4 linked regions of the Callithrix jacchus genome follow. The protein of the gene in region 1 interacts with the protein of each later gene in a pairwise test. Links are inferred from orthologs where the notes say so. Each region holds a gene or a part of one and is shown in the gene's direction. Other genes may lie near its edges. The genes, in order: SETDB1, TK1, UBE2I and MBD1.

Region 1 (3,997 bases):
AGTGATACTATTTTACTTAAATTCCATTTTGGAAAATCCTTCCTTTTTGTTTTGTTTTTGAGACGGAGTCTCGCTCGATCACCCAGGCTGGAGTGAAGTGGCAGGTTCTCCTCTTACTGCAGCCTCTGCTCCCGAGGCTCAGGCGATCCTTCCACCTCAGCTTTGGAATTGCTGGGAAGACAGGTGCGAACTACCACACCTGGCTGTTTTTTTCCCTTGTATTTTGAGTGGAGATGGGGTTTCACCGTGTTGCCCAGCCTGGTCTAGAACTCCTGAGCTCAAGCGATCCTCCCGCCTCAGCCTCCCAAAGTGCTGGGATTACAGGCATAAGCCACGGCGCCCGGCCTGGGGAATCTTTTCTCCAGAAATAAAAGTCCTACCTCAAAAGGATTTTTATTTTTATTGTTGCGCTATTTGTAGGGGCTGAGAACGGAAAACAATCTAAACGAATATGGTTAACCATACTATTGAAATGTTAAAAGTACAAGTTTTACCTTTTTTATTGGCGTCAGGTAATGTCTACATACTAAACGAAGACAAACAAACAAAAAAATCTACACACAGAAACTAGAAAATTAAGCTGTGTTACCTGAAAGGAGTGGAGTGGTAAGTGATGGGGCCAGAGAGAACATTATCACGTTTTTCTTACTACATCTTGATAGCTTTTACAATTTGTATCACTTACATAACAAAATAAACTCAAGGAAAACTGAGAGAAAAAAGCTCTAAACCAATGAGTGTTACCCCAAGTCTTTACGCAATGAACGCAGTAATGTGGCCACCAGTCAAGGGTGGTAGGAGAGGCGGAGCCTCGGCAACATACTTTTGGCCACGCCCACTTTGCTCTGCCAGTAGCTTCTCACGTGTGTTTAACGCATGCGTAGTTACCTTAGTGTGCATTGCCTCAGAGGGGCGCCCCGCGGTTTTGGGTTTGGCCCCGTCAGGCTACCGTCGCGGTGACCGGAACGGCATTAGAGGTTTGCTTCCGGGCGTCTCTTTTGCTTCCCCTTCCCTCCATCACGCTTTCTCCCCTCCCCCTCCTCTCGTATCCCTTCGCTTTCGCTCTTTTCCGTCGAGGCAGACCCCCGAGTCGTGAGTCTGGGGTCTGGTTGGTGAAAAAGAGCCCTTACAACTGGAAGCAGGGAGGTGTGGGGAATACTGTTAATTGATTTATTTGGTGACCAAAGGCTTATCTGGGATGTTTTGTCTGTGGGAGGAGGTCGGGCGAGGGTGGGAAGGAAGTCGTCTCTTGAGGCGAGCGGGGGCGGGGCTGAACTGGGTTTGCGGATGGATGAGGCGCACCCCTAGCATTCTAGGGGTAGCACTGGGGTGGGCCGGTGTGTGGGCAAAGGAAAATGGAGGCGCTGAAAATCAGATTTGCCTTAACAGTTTGATTAAACAAGCATTTCACACAAATGTGTGAAGCATTTGGATTGTGGATATTAGGTAGCCACATTTTATTCCCAGGTTGCTTTACTTCTCTGGAGAAACCTTTTTGCTGCAAGCTTTTGTGTGCTTGAATACCATAGACTTTTTAAAAAGTTAATTTCCACATGAAAGCAAAGTAATGTAAGGGGAACAACTAATGAAAGAGAAAATAGGCCAGGCGTGGTGGCTCACGCCCGTAATTCCAGCACTTTGGGAGGCCAAAGTGGGCGGATGACCTAGATTGGGAGTTCGAGACCAGCCTGACCAAATTGGAGAAACCCCGTCTCTACTAAAAATACAAAAAATTAGCTGGGCGTAGTGGCACATGCCTGTAATTCCAGCTACTCGGGAGGCAGAGGCAGGAGAATAGCTTGAATTCGGGAAGTGGAGGTTGCGATGAGCCAACATTGCCCCATCGCACTCCAGCCTGGGTAACAAGAGCAAAACTCCGTCTCAAAAAAAGAAAATATTGAATTAGTGAGTTACAGATCAACTCCGTCCCCAGATGGGGGGTTTTGTTCAAATTAGGCATAACATGGCAAAGATTTATCACATTAGTTAAGGAACACATATAGACCACAAAAATACCACCTTCTATATTGGTTCTCTTCAGTTTTCTAAAAAATTATTTTTGAAGTTTTGTTTTGAGACAGGGTCACCCAGGCTGGAATGCATGGCACAAACAGCTCACTATAGCAGCCTCTCCTGGGCTCACGTGGTCCTCCCACCTCAGTAGCTGGGCCTAATGGCATATGCCACCACACCTGGCTAATTTTTGTATTTTTTTTGTAAAGATGGGTCTCGCCATGTTGCCCAGGCAGGTCTTGAATTCCTGCCCTCAGGTGACCCTCTGCTGAGATTACAGGCACAAGTCACTGTGCTGGCCCAAAACATTATTTTCAGTAGCTCCCTACTGCATAATGAATGTTTTCCATGCCCTCTCAAACTTTAAATGTTATTCAGGCCTGCTACTGTATAGCAGAAGAAATCTCAGCATCAGATTCTGGGGAATGAAGAGGGAGAACATGGACCATTTGAATAAATAACAGGCAGCAGGGTAGAAATGCTTTATTAGGGAATCAGTTCTCTATTGATTGTGGTTATAAGGACTCCAGTTTAATTTGTTTTCTGTTCCATGCAGAGGACAAAAGCATGTCTTCCCTTCCTGGGCGCATTGGTTTGGATGCAGCAACAGCTACAGTGGAGTCTGAAGAGATCAAAGAGCTGCAACAGGCAGTGGTTGAGGAACTGGGTATCTCTATGGAAGAACTTCGGCATTTCATCGATGAGGAACTGGAGAAGATGGATTGTGTACAGCAGCGCAAGAAACAGCTAGCAGAGTTAGAGACATGGGTGATACAGAAAGAATCTGAGGTGGCTCATGTTGACCAGCTCTTTGATGATGCATCTAGGTGAGAACTACATAGACAACAGAGGGAAATCTCTCCATTGGGAGATATCTTTAGGGCATAATTGTTCATGACATTATACTAAGCATTTATTTTAATTTTTTAATTTAATTTTTTTTTTTTTTGAGACAGAGTCTCACTCTGTCACCCAGGCTAGAGTGCAGTGGAGTGATCCCAGCTCACTGCAACCTCCATCTTTCAGGTTCAAATGATTCTCCTGCCTCAGCCTCCAGGCACCTACCACAATGCCTGGCTAATTTTTTGTATTTTTAGTAAAGACAGGATTTTACCATGTTGACCAGGCTGTGTACCAAGAATTTTATACTTTATGAAGTACAGATGTTTAGAACTTTACTCTTCCTCAAAGTTTATGGTCAAAAATCTGACCTCACAATCAGCCATTTATAGAACTTTTATCTGTCAGCAGCTGATACATGATCAGCAGTAAGGGAGTCCAAGTCTTAAGTCCCTTCCCCTTCTTCCTCCTGTGTTCTATCTTAGAAACAATTGCTTGTTCAGGGAGTGAGGTTTATAAAGAATTTCTGTCTTATGTAACTTTGAAGCATTATTAAGTTCCTATACTCCTAAAAGTTATTTTTGGTGATCTAGTTGTCATTTAGAATACCTTTTTTGTTTTTGAGACGGAATCTCGCTCTGTCTCGCCCAGGCTGGAGTGCAGTGGCATGTTCTTGGCTCACTGCAGCCTCTGCCTCCCAGTTTCAAGCAGTTCTCCTGTCTCAGCCTACTGAGTAGCTGGGACTACACGTGTGTCCCACCACACCCAGCTAATTTTTGTATTTTTTGTAGAGATAGGGTTTCACCATGTTGGCCAGACTGGTCTTGAACTCCTGACCTCAGGTGATCCGCCCACCTCGGCCTCCCAAAGTCCTGGGCTTACAGGCTCGAGCCACTGCACTTGACCTATATTTTTTATTTTATTTGTTTTTTTGAGTTGGAGTCTCACTCTGTCACCAGGCTGGAGTGTGGTGGTGCAGTCTCCTCTGCCTTCCAGGTTCAAGCGATTCCCCTGCCTCAGCCTCCCAAAGAGCTGGGACTGCAGGTATACACCACCTGGCTAATTTTTTTTTTTTTGTATTTTAGTAGACACTGTTTCACTGAGTTGGCCAGGATGGTCTCAATCTCCTGACCTCATGATCCGC
Region 2 (3,558 bases), on another chromosome or scaffold:
AGCTTTGGCGAGGCTCTCCCTGCCTTCAGACCTGCCACTGTGAGTTGCTCAAGAGCTCTGCTCTGGCTCTGCATAAACCTTGTTGACAGATGCTGACCCAGACCCCCCCCAGGCAGAAACCTTTCCCTTCTCCTTCCTCCTTCCGTAACATCCAGGAGCCAGCATATTAAGTCCTGTCCCGTTCCAGCCTGAAGGAGAGATTTCTCAGTCTACTTCCTCCCTGGCCCACAAGTAAAACTTTAGTTCATTCAGGGAGTGCTTATTACACCCCATATCCAGACATCAGCCTTGTGCCATTCTGTGTGCCCTTGTTCCTTTCTAGAAGTTTAGCATCTTCCCACTGCAAGCATTTCTAGATGGAGGAGAGGGGTTCCTAGTATGGGGACCCACAGAAGGACTGTCCTTCCCTCCTTCATTGTCTACGTGGACAGTGGAAGAAGCCCAGCCTGACCTGCCTTGTTCCTGTTTTCTGGGTCAGCAGGGAAAGCCTTTCATAGAGTAGCCACCATGCCATCCTGAGGAAGGCCCTAGGTCAGAAGCTTCTGTGCTTCTTTGTATGCCGGGTGAGGCACAGTGGCGCTCACACTGCTTTGTAGAAATTGTTGGCATGCAAGAGAGAGTCATGTGGAGACCCCAAAGCCACTAGCTGGGCGTGCTGTGCTTCAGATGCTGGTGGTGGGTGAGCACCCTGGCCCCAGCACCTCCCCGATGCGTTCATCAACAGCTGTACAGTGTCTGGCGGGCCTGCAGGGTTGCTTGGCAATAGTGGAAGCTCTGATTTTTTTAAACTTTTTTTTCTGGCTGGGCACAGTGGCTCACACCTATAATCCTAGCGTTTTCGAAGGCCAAGGCGGGCGGATCACTTGAGGTCAGGAGTTTGAGACCGGCCAGGCCAACATAGTAAAATCCCGTCTCTACTGAAAATACAAAAATTAGCCGGATGTGGTGGCACACACCTATTATTCCAGCTACTTTGGAGGCTGAGGCAAAATCATCACTTGAACCCGGGAGGCAGAGGTTGTGGTGAGCCAAGATCATGCCACTGCACTCCAGCCTGGGTGACAGAGTGACTCTGTCTCAAAAACAAACAAACAAAAAAAACCAAAAAACGGTTTTTTGTGTTTTCTGTTCTACTAACACAAGTAATACAGGTTGAATGTTCCTTATCGTAAATGCCTGGGACCAGAAGTGTTTGGATTTCTGATTTTTTCAGATTTTGGAATATTTGCATATATATAATATAATGAGACCTTGGGAATGAGTCCCAACTGTAAATACAAGATCCGATATGTTTATAGATGCCTTATCCACATAGCCTGGGAGTGATTTTATATGCTATCTGGTAATTTGGGCATGAGCCAGGGTTTTGACTGTGAGCTGTCCCATAAGGTCAGGTGTGAAATTTTCCACTTGTGGTATGCACTCAAAAAGTTTCAGGTTTTGGAGCCTTTTGGATTAGAGACTTCGTAAGTTTAATCTGGAAAAACTTAAGAGTCTGGCACAGTGGCTCATGCCTGTTATGCCAGCACTCTGGGAGGCCGAGGCACGCAAATTGCTTGAGACTAGGAGTTTGAGACCAGCCTGGGCAATATGGTGAAACCCTGCCTCTACCAAAAATACAAAAATTAGCCAGGAGTAGTGGCACATACCTGTAGTCCCAGCTAGTTGGGAGGCTGAGGTGGGAGCATCGGCTGAGCCTGTAGGTCCAGGCTGTGAGTCATGGTTGAGCCACTGCCCTCCAGCCTGGGCAATGGGGAGCAAGACTGGGAGCTGCCTTTTTGTGACATGTGATGAATCCTCAGAGAAAAAGAGAGAACACGTGCATGGTGGGGCAGGGCCCAGCGTGCTGGAGTCTCTGGGTTTTCTTTCTAGAGGCCCCTGCAGTCTGCTGAGCGCAGTCGGTTACATCAGGCTTCACCTGGATCCCACTGGAATTTTTCCAGTTATCCCCTAGTCCTCGCCTTGCTAAGCCCTAATGTCTTAATAACCTCAAACCTCAGTACCTGGGCTGAGGAAAGCCTGAGGGGCTCCTGGAGAGAGACCTGTGCCCAAGGACAGGAACATCCCCACTTCAGCCAACCCAAAGGCCAGTCTGGACATGTGAACTCAACCAGCTAAAAGCAATATGACTGATTGATGAGAATCACCAAAGCACTTGCTAGAGTTTCAGCTTCTCCCTGGGCCAAAGTGAAATTTGATGTAGGCAGTAAATGTGCTCTGTGCCGGCCCTGTATTTAGAAGGCTGTGCTGTGTCATCCTGCTCTGTAAATGGCCAGGAGGACCCCCACACCTTCTCAAGGCACATTACCTGTCTAAAAAGGCGAGGGGGCAAGAGCACAAAATGCCCAGCTACTCACTGAAGTGCATGTGTATAACTTAGTGCCTTCTGTCCTTACACAATAGGACCTTTCTTGCTATCGCTCAGTGAAGAGGAAACAGGTTCAGAGAAGTTAACTCACTGCCAAGGTCACACAGATAATGGTGTCCGCTCGGAATAGCGGTGTCCGAGCCCCAGGCAGCAGATGTCTGGCCCCAGCCTTTGGCCGCTGCAGTGTTAAACAGCACAGCAGGTGTGGAAGTCTGATGCTGAGTCCTGGGTACCTGGACTCGGAGCAGAAGCTGGCTGCAGAGGGAAGAGGCTGGGCAGTTGTGGATGTGCCTGTCATCTGCTGGGAGGGCACCCATGGACAGTCCCCAGCCTGAGGAACCTCATGGAAGAGTTAGAGTTGCTCCAGGCTGAATGGCGGGAGTTGTCTGATCTGGCAGCGTCTCTGCTGGGACTTCAGGGAGCTGCTGCTAGGGTGGAAACTCTCACGCTTTCTCCACCTTCCCTTTCCAGTTCCCTGACATCGTGGAGTTCTGTGAGGCCATGGCCAACGCCGGGAAGACAGTAATTGTGGCTGCACTGGACGGGACCTTCCAGAGGAAGGTAAGGTGTCTGATCCAGGTCTGGAGCGTGATTCCAGGAGGGGAGGGGGCTTCTGGGTGGCCAGGGCCCAGCCACTGTAGGGGCACAGTTGAGCTGCTCAGACCAGTCCTTGCCTGAGCCTAGGGACTCCCTGGTCTATGCAGACCAGGTGCCATCTGTTGCGGCAGGTGGTTTGAATTGGCAAGGAGACAAAGCCAGGCATGGTGCTCTGGGGGTTGGGGGAGGACTGAGGTCAGAGCAAACTTTCCTGGCTTCAGTGCTTATGAATCAAAGGGTTTAAAAGAAAACCCCGCCTGGGAAGGTAGCCGAGCACCCACTGTCTTTCCATGGGAGTGCAGGCATTTGGGACCATCCTGAACCTGGTGCCGCTGGCCGAGAGCGTGGTGAAGCTGACCGCAGTATGCATGGAGTGCTTCCGGGAAGCCGCCTACACCAAGAGGCTTGGCACCGAAAAGGAGGTACCTCCACCTGTCTTCCCTGCGGGCTGGTGGGGTGGGGGCGTGGCTCTGTCTCCTTCCTGTCCCGGCCCTTCACCCATCCCCTGTCCCTGCGGCTAGGTCGAAGTGATTGGAGGAGCAGACAAGTATCACTCTGTGTGTCGCCTCTGCTACTTCAAGAAGGCCTCAGGC
Region 3 (4,347 bases), on another chromosome or scaffold:
TGAGGGAATGAATGAGGGAGGGAGGAAATGAATGAGTGAGGGATGGAGGGAATGAATGAGGGAGGGAGGAAATGAGTGAGTGAGGGATGGAGGGAATGAGTAAGGGTGGGAATGAGTGAGGGAATGAATGAATGAGAGAATGAGTGAGGGAGGGAAAGAGTGAGGGATGGAGGGAATGAGTGAGGGATGGAGGGAATGAGGGTGGGAATGAGTGAGGGAATGAATGAGGGAGGGAGGAAATGAATGGGTGAGGGATGGAGGGAATGAGTGAGTGAGGGTGGGAATGAGTGAGGGAATGAATGAATGAGAGAATGAGTGAGGGAGGGAAAGAGTGAGAGATGGAGGGAATGAGTGAGGGAACGAATGAGGGAGAGAGGAAATGAGTGAGGGAGGAAATGAGTGAGGGAGGGAATGAGTGAGGGAGGGAATGAGTGAGGGAGGGAATGAGTGAGGGAGGGAATGGGTGAGGCAGGGAATGAGTGAGGGAGGGAATGAGTGAGGGTGGGAATGAGTGAATGAGGGAGAGAATGAATGAGGGAGGAAATGATTGAGGAAGTGAAGGAATGAGTGAGCGAGTAAAGGAATGAATGAATGAATGAATGAGTCAGTGAGGGAGGGAATGAAAGAATGCGGTCATTCCCCGTGGTCCCCAAGCGCCCGGACACAGTGACCTTGGCAGCGACCCCGCCGTCGGCGAAATGGGGGTGGGCGGGCCAGGAGAGCCCGGGGCCAGCACAGCCGCGCGTTGGCGGAGCGTCCAGCGCGCTCGCGGGGCTGGGGGCCTCCCGACCCGGTCCCCGCGGTTGGCGCGGGGATGGGAGTGGGGGTGGGGCCGGGAAGCGCCCCTCCCCCACGGGCCCGCCCCGCCCCCGCCGCTCGCAGGCCCCGCGCCCCGCCCCCGCCCAGGGTCCGCCCCCAGGTTAGGGAACATCCTCACTTCTCCTCCCGTCGGTCATGCGCGCATTCGGCCTTTTGTACCGGGTCAGCTCATTGGGCGGATGAGAAGATTTCCCCGCCCGCCGCCCCGAACTGGCCAATTGCAAGAGGTTTCACAGGGCGCTAAACTAGCGGGAGCGTCACCGTCCTGCGACGCTTCAGGGTATCCTTAGGCCTCAGTGGTCTTTGCCCCCAGACCCCAGGCCCTGACCCCAAGGAAACCTCCGGGACGTGTGCCTGGAGAGGTGACTTCCGGGTATCCAGGGAGCTTTTGGAGTTCTCGGCCTCCTTTTGCCCCCGCTGCTCGCCGGCGCGTCCTCGGATGGACGCGGGCGCCCCGAAGGGGAGTTTGCAGACGCTCCCTCACATCGGGGACGCGGCTCCTTTAAGGGTGTAGGTGTCCAGGGCGCCGCCTGACTGGAAAGTCGCCCCCCGACCGGGCTCCTGGGGCGGACCCGGGTCGCGGGCGCGCGGTGGCGGGGCCCGGGCGGCGGGGGGCGGGTGGTGGCGCGGGCAGCACTCGGGGCGGGACGGCGGCGGCGGCGCGCGAGGCAGGCTTGCGGAGGGCAGCCCCGCGCCAGGCCCCGCCTCGCGCGCCCCGCCCGCCCCAGGGTCCTCGGAGCTGCTCGGGCTGCGCGCGGAGCGGGCTCCGGAGGGAAGTCCCGAGACAAAGGGAAGCGCCGCCGCCGCCGCCCCGCTCGGTCCTCCGCCTGTCCGCGACGCTCGCCGGGGCCGCGGCCGCCCGAGGTGAGCGCGGGCGGGGGCCGGGCCGGGGCCGCGGGGCGGGGGCGGGCTAAGGCCTCCAGCGCTGTCGGGCCCGGGCCCCCGGCTGCCCCGCGCCCCGCCCCGCCGAGCCCGGGCCCCGCGTCGCGGCCGAGCTTCCCAGAGAGGCCCCGCGCTCGACGCCGGCCCGGCCCGCGGTGCTGGCGTCGCGGGGCTGTAGCCCGAGCGCCCGGTTCGCCGTAGGCCCTCGGGGCCGGGGCTCCCCCACTTCGCCCTCGAGGTGCGCCTGGCGCGGGGCCGGGGCAGCCACCTGCAGCCGGGGCCCCGCGAGGCCGCGCCTTCCTCCTCCGCGGCGAGCGGCTTCCGGGGTCACGGTCGCCCGCGGACGACGAGGATGGGCCTCCGGGGGGAGAGCCGCGGATTGCAACAGCGCTGACTCGCGCGGGTGGGGGCCGGCGGGCGGGCGGGCGGCTCTTCGGGGCCTTCAAACCGAAACGCGTCCAAGTTCTCTCGCGCCGCTGAAGACGCCCCGCCGGCGCCGCTGGTGGGAGTTTGGTCCGGTCTCGGGCCGCTTTGTACCGGTTGAATCGTGGTTGGCTCTGGAAGTTGGGGCCGTAGGAGGCAGGTGCGGGGTGACGCGCTGGGCTTGTGGTCGTGGCCTGCGGTCAGGCGCGAAGCGCAGGACGAAGTGGTTCGGGGTGTGGAGTCGGGAGTCACGTTTAGTTCCTCTGTCCGCGGAGTCTTGGGGGATTTCGTCGGTTTTCTCCCTAGGACTCACCCCACCCGTTTCTTGCTCTTTAAAGAAACGTTGCCTTTGGGTAGAGAACCTAGCGGAGAGAACACAGGAAGGACCCTCAGTTTGCCCTGGGGGCTCACAAAGAGGTCCCTTCCCTAGGCTGTTGGGTGGCTGCAGGTGTCCCGGGGTTTGGGATCTCGCTGCGGAAACAGCCCGGGGGCCTGGGACAGACAGGTCAGGTGCGGCCAGGTGAGCGTGTCCCGACTGCAGGTGCCCGGGTCGTGCAGAAGGGAACATCCTCCCGGGCCTGGGAGAGTGTGCATTTGGGTGCAGGAGGACCTTTGAGGGCTTCAGGTGCGAGCCTGTCGGGGCGCCCACCTGTTCTGGTGATGAGGGCTGCGGAGCTGTGGGCGGCACTGTGGGAGATGGGCGCTTTGCTCACCCTCAGCCAGGAAGTTGCTCTGAAGTGGGTGCAGTCGGCCAGCAGAGCCAGGTGGTGATCGGACATGCTCAAGCTCAGCCCTCTGCGTGTGCCCTGTGGGAGGGCAGGCGGCAGACTTTCGGGCAGCTCCTGGAGTGCCCGGCCCAGAGGTCCCGTTGCTGCCGGTGTCTGGGCCTTGCCTGGCGCTGACAGAAGAGTTGTTTTTGTGTTTGTAGCGTAAAAGTTTCCTGTTTTGAAGCCCTTAGTGACTCCTAGCTGTTCACTAAGTGCCTATCTGTTAGTTGGGGAGGATGGATTCAGTTTTCAGTGGGATTTTTGAATGCTGGGTCTGTGTTGTGATTACATTGTAACAGATGGGCCACTTTCTCCAGTGGGCAGGCCAGCAGGAGGGGGAGCAGGGATCTTGGAGGCCAGGCCTGGCTTCTGCCTAGGATGGGTGGGTGTGCACCTGTGGCTCCCTGCCCTGATGGTAGAGTGTCCTGTACGACCCCCGCCTGGTGCTGAGTGCTTTGGGGCTGGCGGCACAGCGGCAGCAGCCCGGTCTTGGCAGGAGGTTTGGCAGGACCACCCTCATGACTTCTCACACCTGAGGCAACAATAGCTGGGGGCTGAGCACGGCCTCTGGGCGGCCCTGTCCAGTCCTCAGCAGGAAGGCCACCTGTGGCAGAGTCCCAGGCCTGCTGGCCTCTCCATGGCCTGGTCTTGCCTGGCTGTGAGCATCGGTGCCCATGGTCCTTCAGTGACTGGAGCGCTGGTCTGGGGCTTCAGAGGCCCGTCTGATGCCTGGCCCCGCTCAGACCATGGGCACCTGGGAGCTGGCGCCTTCGTGAAACAGCCACTCGCCAGGCTGCTATGCACTGCACAGGGCACAGGTTGCAGCCACTCAGAGACTCCTCCCTGGGGCTGGGGAAGCAAGAGCCCCTGAGTTCTCAGGCCGCCGGTACCAAGGTGGTGCTGGGCTACTCCATGTGGAAGAGCCAATGGAAGGGGAAGGTGGAGAAAACTCCACACCGGCTGGGGTGTGGAGTTTCAGACCCCAGCCAGTGCAGAGAGAACCTTGAAACCGTGGTTGGCGAGCACTCCAGCCTGCTTGGGACCCATACCCTGCCTGCCCCCAGCTCGGCCCAGCTGTGTCCTCCCCCACTTTCTCCCGACTTAGAGGAGGGTGTGGGGAAGGGCAAGCGGTCAGGAGGGCAGGTGGCCTGTGGACCCTCTGCGTCTCAGTGAGGAAGATGTGGGGAAGGACATCCCAGTGGGGCCCAGTCCGTGGCTGCCTCCAGCCCCGGCTGCCTGTCTTGGACTTAGTCGTGGAGCTGGAGGCCAGGGCCCAGTGGCCCCTGTCACTCTCTCCCAGTGCCACCAGCGCCTGCTGACTGGAGGACCCAGGTTCCTCTGCCTGCTTTTTCTCGGACTACCATGAGAACCCGTGTTTGGTGAAAATGAACCAAATCCCCCTGCAGGGCACGCGGCTCTAGCAACCCTGCCCGGCTTCCGGAACCCTGGTGCCCTG
Region 4 (4,193 bases), on another chromosome or scaffold:
GAAGCTGCGACGTGCGGAAGTGGACTTGGAGCGTGTGCGTGTGGTAGGTTTCCATGTGGTTTCAGTGCTGCACATGGTAGGTGTCCATCCCGGACGTGGCCGAGGGCAATCGGGGCTTCAAGAGTGCCTGCTCAGGACTCCTGCTGCTCCCTTGGCAGTGGTACAAGCTGGATGAGCTATTTGAGCAGGAGCGCAATGTGCGCACAGCCATGACAAACCGCGCGGGATTGCTGGCCCTGATGTTGCACCAGACGATCCAGCACGACCCCCTCACTACCGACTTGCGCTCCAGTGCCGACCGCTGAGCCTCCTGGCCTGGACCCCTCACATCCTGCATTCCAGATGGGGGAGCCGCCCAGTGCCCGTGTGTCCGTTCCTCCATTCATCAGTTTCTCTGGTTCAACCTGTGCCCATCCACCGGTTGACCGCCCGTCTGCCTTTGTCAAAGGGTTTTTCCCTGTCTCCATGTTCAGTGCCTGGTGGGGCTGCAGAGTCCACTCATCCTTCCCCTCCCTGGGTTTTGTTAATAAAATTTTGAAGAAACTAAGGAAGCTGCCTCCACATTGCTGCGGTTGCAACTATTCCCAACTCCTAGGTAAGATGGGGGCTCCTGCACCCCGGAAGAGCCCAGGGACCCACATTCCCAGCCTCCCACGGGCATAGGTCTACGTAGCGCGCATTCAGTGTGGTGACACTGCCCGCTCGTGCTCCTCTCTCCCACGCAGAGCTGTCGTCCGCCGTGGACGCCAGGCCCCGTTTAAGCCCCACCTTGACGATCCGCAGGGGCGCGCCCTCCAGCGTGCCTCAGTTTACCTGCGGTGCAGCTGCACCGCCCCCTTCCCCGGCCCGCTTGCCCCGCGGCGGTTCAGCGGGGAGGAGGGAGCAGGACACGACAGCCCTGGGGTTGATGTTCGGAGAGACCTGGAGGCACAGGCTCGACACCAGCGAGAGGTGGGAGAGTAGAGTGCCGGCTGGGCCAAGGAGTGCGCAGGCCTGAACCATCTTTCTCGCCGCCGTCCGCATCCGCTTTGGAGACCGCGGGAGGAAACGGAGGGCGCAAGCGCAAGCCCTCCCCAACCACTTCCCCTCAGCTTAGACTGGAGAGCGCATGCGCACGCCAGAGAGGCAGCGAGGGGCTCCGCGGCTGCTGATCCCTCGATGGGGCGCGAGCGGCTATTAAACGTCATCACGTAGATGCAACTCGTTCCTGGCAGGGGCGCGCGCACAGTTGCGTGCTAGCCCGCAGGCGCAGGAGCCTCCCTATTAAGGGCACGCGCCGTCGAAGCATTAGCGCGCAGGTGCGTCTCTAGAGGAGGAGCCCGAGAGAGGCAGGCCGCGGACTTCCGGTTCCGGGAGCAACGAACAGCCGCGGAGGCAACAGCTACCGCTTCAGAGGAGGCGGCCGCCGAGGAGGAAGAAGGGGAGGAGGGCGAGGCGGAAGGTGCAGGAGGGACCCTCGCCTTGGGTCCACGGGCCTAGAGCTGCGGAAGATACCGGTCTGGTGCCAGACTGGTGAGACAGCCTTGGGGCTGGACGTGGAGAGCGCTCAGGCGGAGGATGGGAAGGAATTGAGGCTCAGAACGCTGACGGGGTGGAATGGAGGGCCCTCAGGCCGGTGAGGGAGAGGAATGGCGGCGTCGGAATACTGACGAGGAGAAATGGGGGGATTTAGGCTGAGGACGGGAAGGAATGGAGCTCAGAACTCTGACAGGTAGGAGTGTCGAGATCCTGGGGTGAGGACAGGGTGGAATGGTGGAGTTCAGAATGCTGAAGGGAGACATCAGGGCATCTGAAGTTGAGAGAGAGAGAGAGATAGGGGTTCAGAACTCTGAGGGAGAAATGAGGGGCCCTCAGGCTGATGACAGGAGAAATGGAGACGTTGGAATGCTGAAAGGGAGGGATGGGGGCCCCATATAGAGGATGAGGAGCAGTAGGAGATCAGAACACTGACAGTTAGGGATGGCATGATCCTGGGACAAGAACAGAGAATGGGGGAGGGTTCGGAATGCTGAGGGGAGAAATTAGGGTCTCTCAAGATGATGATGAGAGGAACGGAGGATGAGAACAGTGAAGGGGAAAAGAGGGGAACTTTTTGGCTGTAGAGGAGAGAAACAGGAAGGTTTGAGGGCTGACACTGGGGAGAAATTGTGGGTCAGAACATCGAAGGAAAAGAAAAATAAGTGGGGAGCTCTTGGGCTGAGGAAGGGGAGGCATAGGAGGCTTCCAGTGTGAGGAATGGAAAAGATGAGGGGCTGTTCAGGCCATGGGTTGAAGCAGTTGTGTCTCTCGCAGAGGAAGTCGAGGTTGTAACACTGAGATAGCAGGATAAGAAGACATCAGACAAGGAAGGAATGGAATGGTTAAAACACTGAAGGAGGGAAATTAGGAACTCCTGGGTCAAGGAAGGGGGAATGAAGAAGTCAAGTAGTGAGAGCAAGAGAAATGGGGCCTTTTGGGGCTTGAGGATGGGGAGTATGGGGGTCTTGGGGTGATAAAATAGAGGGATAGAGGACCTTAGGTCAATGACAGGGAGGAATGAGGGAAAAGGATGAAAAGTTTGTGGACTGGCAGTGAGGAGAAATGATGGGATGTCAGTCCAAGGATAGAGAGGAGTAGGGAATAGGACACTGAGAATAAGAAATGGGGACCCTTGGGTTGAGGAATGAGGATCTTTTAGGCCCAGAATAGGAAAGAATGGGATGGCAGATCCTAGGTCTTGGGCAAGCACTAATGGATACCAGTGATTTGTGTGGCCTGAGGCACAGTTTTGTCCCTTACTAGAGCCTCAGTTTCCCTCATCCTCTCCACCCCCTTTCAGGCTACTGCAGCTTCCTGTGGCCTCCATGGCTGAGGACTGGCTGGATTGCCCAGCCCTGGGCCCTGGCTGGAAGCGCCGTGAAGTCTTTCGCAAGTCAGGGGCTACCTGCGGACGCTCAGACACCTATTACCAGAGGTACTGGGTGGGTTGTGGACAGAGTTGGGGTAGGGTAAAACCTGATTAGGGTAAAATCAAATAGGGTGGTTTAATTTATGGATGGAGTTTAAATTATGCATATACAGTTCATTGCTATTATTAGCAAATTTTATGTTTGCAATTTTATCTACTTAAAATTTATTTGTAATTTAAAAGTCACAACTCACAGTGCATTTGTGATTATTCAAGGACATGCACAGAGCAGTGAAAAGCTGTCACTCAGTGCCTGTGTTTCTAGCTGAGGCTGAAGGAGCTCTTTTTGTTTCAGTTTTTAAAATTACTTTTGAGACAGAGTTTTGCTCTTGTTGCACAGGCTGGAGTGCAATGGCACTATCTCAGCTCACTGCAACCTCTGCCTCCTGGGTTCTACGGATGCTCCTGCCTCAGCCTCCTGAGTAGCTAGGATTACAGGCACGCGCCACCATGCCAGGCTAATTTTTTGTATTTTTAGTAGAGATGGGGTTTCTCCATGTTGGTCAGGCTGGTCTTGAACTCCTGACCTCTGGTGATCTGCCTGCCTCTGCCTCTCAAAGTGCTGGGATTACAGGCATGAGCCACCATGCCTGGACATGTTTTAGCTTTAATACTGTAAGCAAGTAACTGTTCTTTTCATGGTGTGTTTAGTGTCACATTTTTCCAATTTTTGTACTTTTTGTTGGTGATTTTGTTTTTTAAAATGGTCCCAAGCATAGTGCTGAGGTGCTGTTTAGTGTCCTGAGTGTGAGAAGGCTGTGTTGTTTCTTACGGAGAAAATAGAAGGTAGATAAACCTTTTTCATACATGAGTTACAATGCTGTCGGCTGCAAGTTCAATGTTACGCATCAAAAATATGGTACAACCAGAAAAAGAAGGAAATTTGCCAATATGCATATGAGGCTGCTTCAGAAAGTACAGAAAGCATTCATAGTCTTGAAGCTGTGGAAAAGATGAGAAAGCAGCTACATTGGTGGATTCATGAAATGATGATCAGTAATTCGTAGTGGATAGCATTGTTGAGGAAAGCCAAACTAACATTACTCTGGGTTAGGAAAATATTAAGGTTATATCAGGTAGTGCTGGCTGACTTGCACATTTCAAAAGGTGACATGGCATGAAAAATGTTAAACTTGGATCCAGTACAGGTTCTCCCAATTAGGAGTCTTCTGCGGAATTTTAAAAATACTGTTAAGTGTTATACAGGAAAAGGGTTATGTAGAATAGTGGTTTTCAATGCCAAAAC

Evidence for each region.
Region 2: the proteins of SETDB1 (region 1) and TK1 interact in a two-hybrid assay, tested with the Homo sapiens proteins (2 studies listed by BioGRID and IntAct). The link is inferred for Callithrix jacchus from reciprocal best matches to the Homo sapiens genes SETDB1 and TK1.
Region 3: the proteins of SETDB1 (region 1) and UBE2I interact in a two-hybrid assay, tested with the Homo sapiens proteins (2 studies listed by BioGRID and IntAct). The link is inferred for Callithrix jacchus from reciprocal best matches to the Homo sapiens genes SETDB1 and UBE2I.
Region 4: the proteins of SETDB1 (region 1) and MBD1 interact in binary tests that used the Homo sapiens proteins (3 or more experiments, as listed by UniProt). The link is inferred for Callithrix jacchus from reciprocal best matches to the Homo sapiens genes SETDB1 and MBD1.

Annotation. Positions count from the first base shown.
Region 1 is NC_133519.1:10,822,696-10,826,692, forward strand, and holds the start of SETDB1 (histone-lysine N-methyltransferase SETDB1), read left to right. Parts: upstream 1-1,187; 5' UTR 1,188-1,415; coding exon 1,416-1,446; intron 1,447-2,569; coding exon 2,570-2,840; intron 2,841-3,997. UniProt on the Homo sapiens protein: Histone methyltransferase that specifically trimethylates 'Lys-9' of histone H3. H3 'Lys-9' trimethylation represents a specific tag for epigenetic transcriptional repression by recruiting HP1 (CBX1, CBX3 and/or CBX5) proteins to methylated histones.
Region 2 is NC_133506.1:133,959,170-133,962,727, reverse strand, and holds part of TK1 (thymidine kinase, cytosolic), read left to right. Parts: intron 1-2,839; coding exon 2,840-2,929; intron 2,930-3,267; coding exon 3,268-3,387; intron 3,388-3,486; coding exon 3,487-3,558. UniProt on the Homo sapiens protein: Cell-cycle-regulated enzyme of importance in nucleotide metabolism. Catalyzes the first enzymatic step in the salvage pathway converting thymidine into thymidine monophosphate.
Region 3 is NC_133513.1:3,564,559-3,568,905, forward strand, and holds the start of UBE2I (SUMO-conjugating enzyme UBC9), read left to right. Parts: upstream 1-1,547; 5' UTR 1,548-1,683; intron 1,684-2,013; exon of another isoform or gene 2,014-2,280; intron 2,281-4,347. UniProt on the Homo sapiens protein: Accepts the ubiquitin-like proteins SUMO1, SUMO2, SUMO3, SUMO4 and SUMO1P1/SUMO5 from the UBLE1A-UBLE1B E1 complex and catalyzes their covalent attachment to other proteins with the help of an E3 ligase such as RANBP2, CBX4 and ZNF451.
Region 4 is NC_133514.1:93,464,052-93,468,244, reverse strand, and holds the start of MBD1 (methyl-CpG-binding domain protein 1), read left to right. Parts: upstream 1-1,351; 5' UTR 1,352-1,658; coding exon 1,659-1,711; intron 1,712-2,818; coding exon 2,819-2,953; intron 2,954-4,193. Other genes in the region: CXXC1 (CXXC-type zinc finger protein 1), read left to right, coding at 1-43, 159-305. UniProt on the Homo sapiens protein: Transcriptional repressor that binds CpG islands in promoters where the DNA is methylated at position 5 of cytosine within CpG dinucleotides. Binding is abolished by the presence of 7-mG that is produced by DNA damage by methylmethanesulfonate (MMS).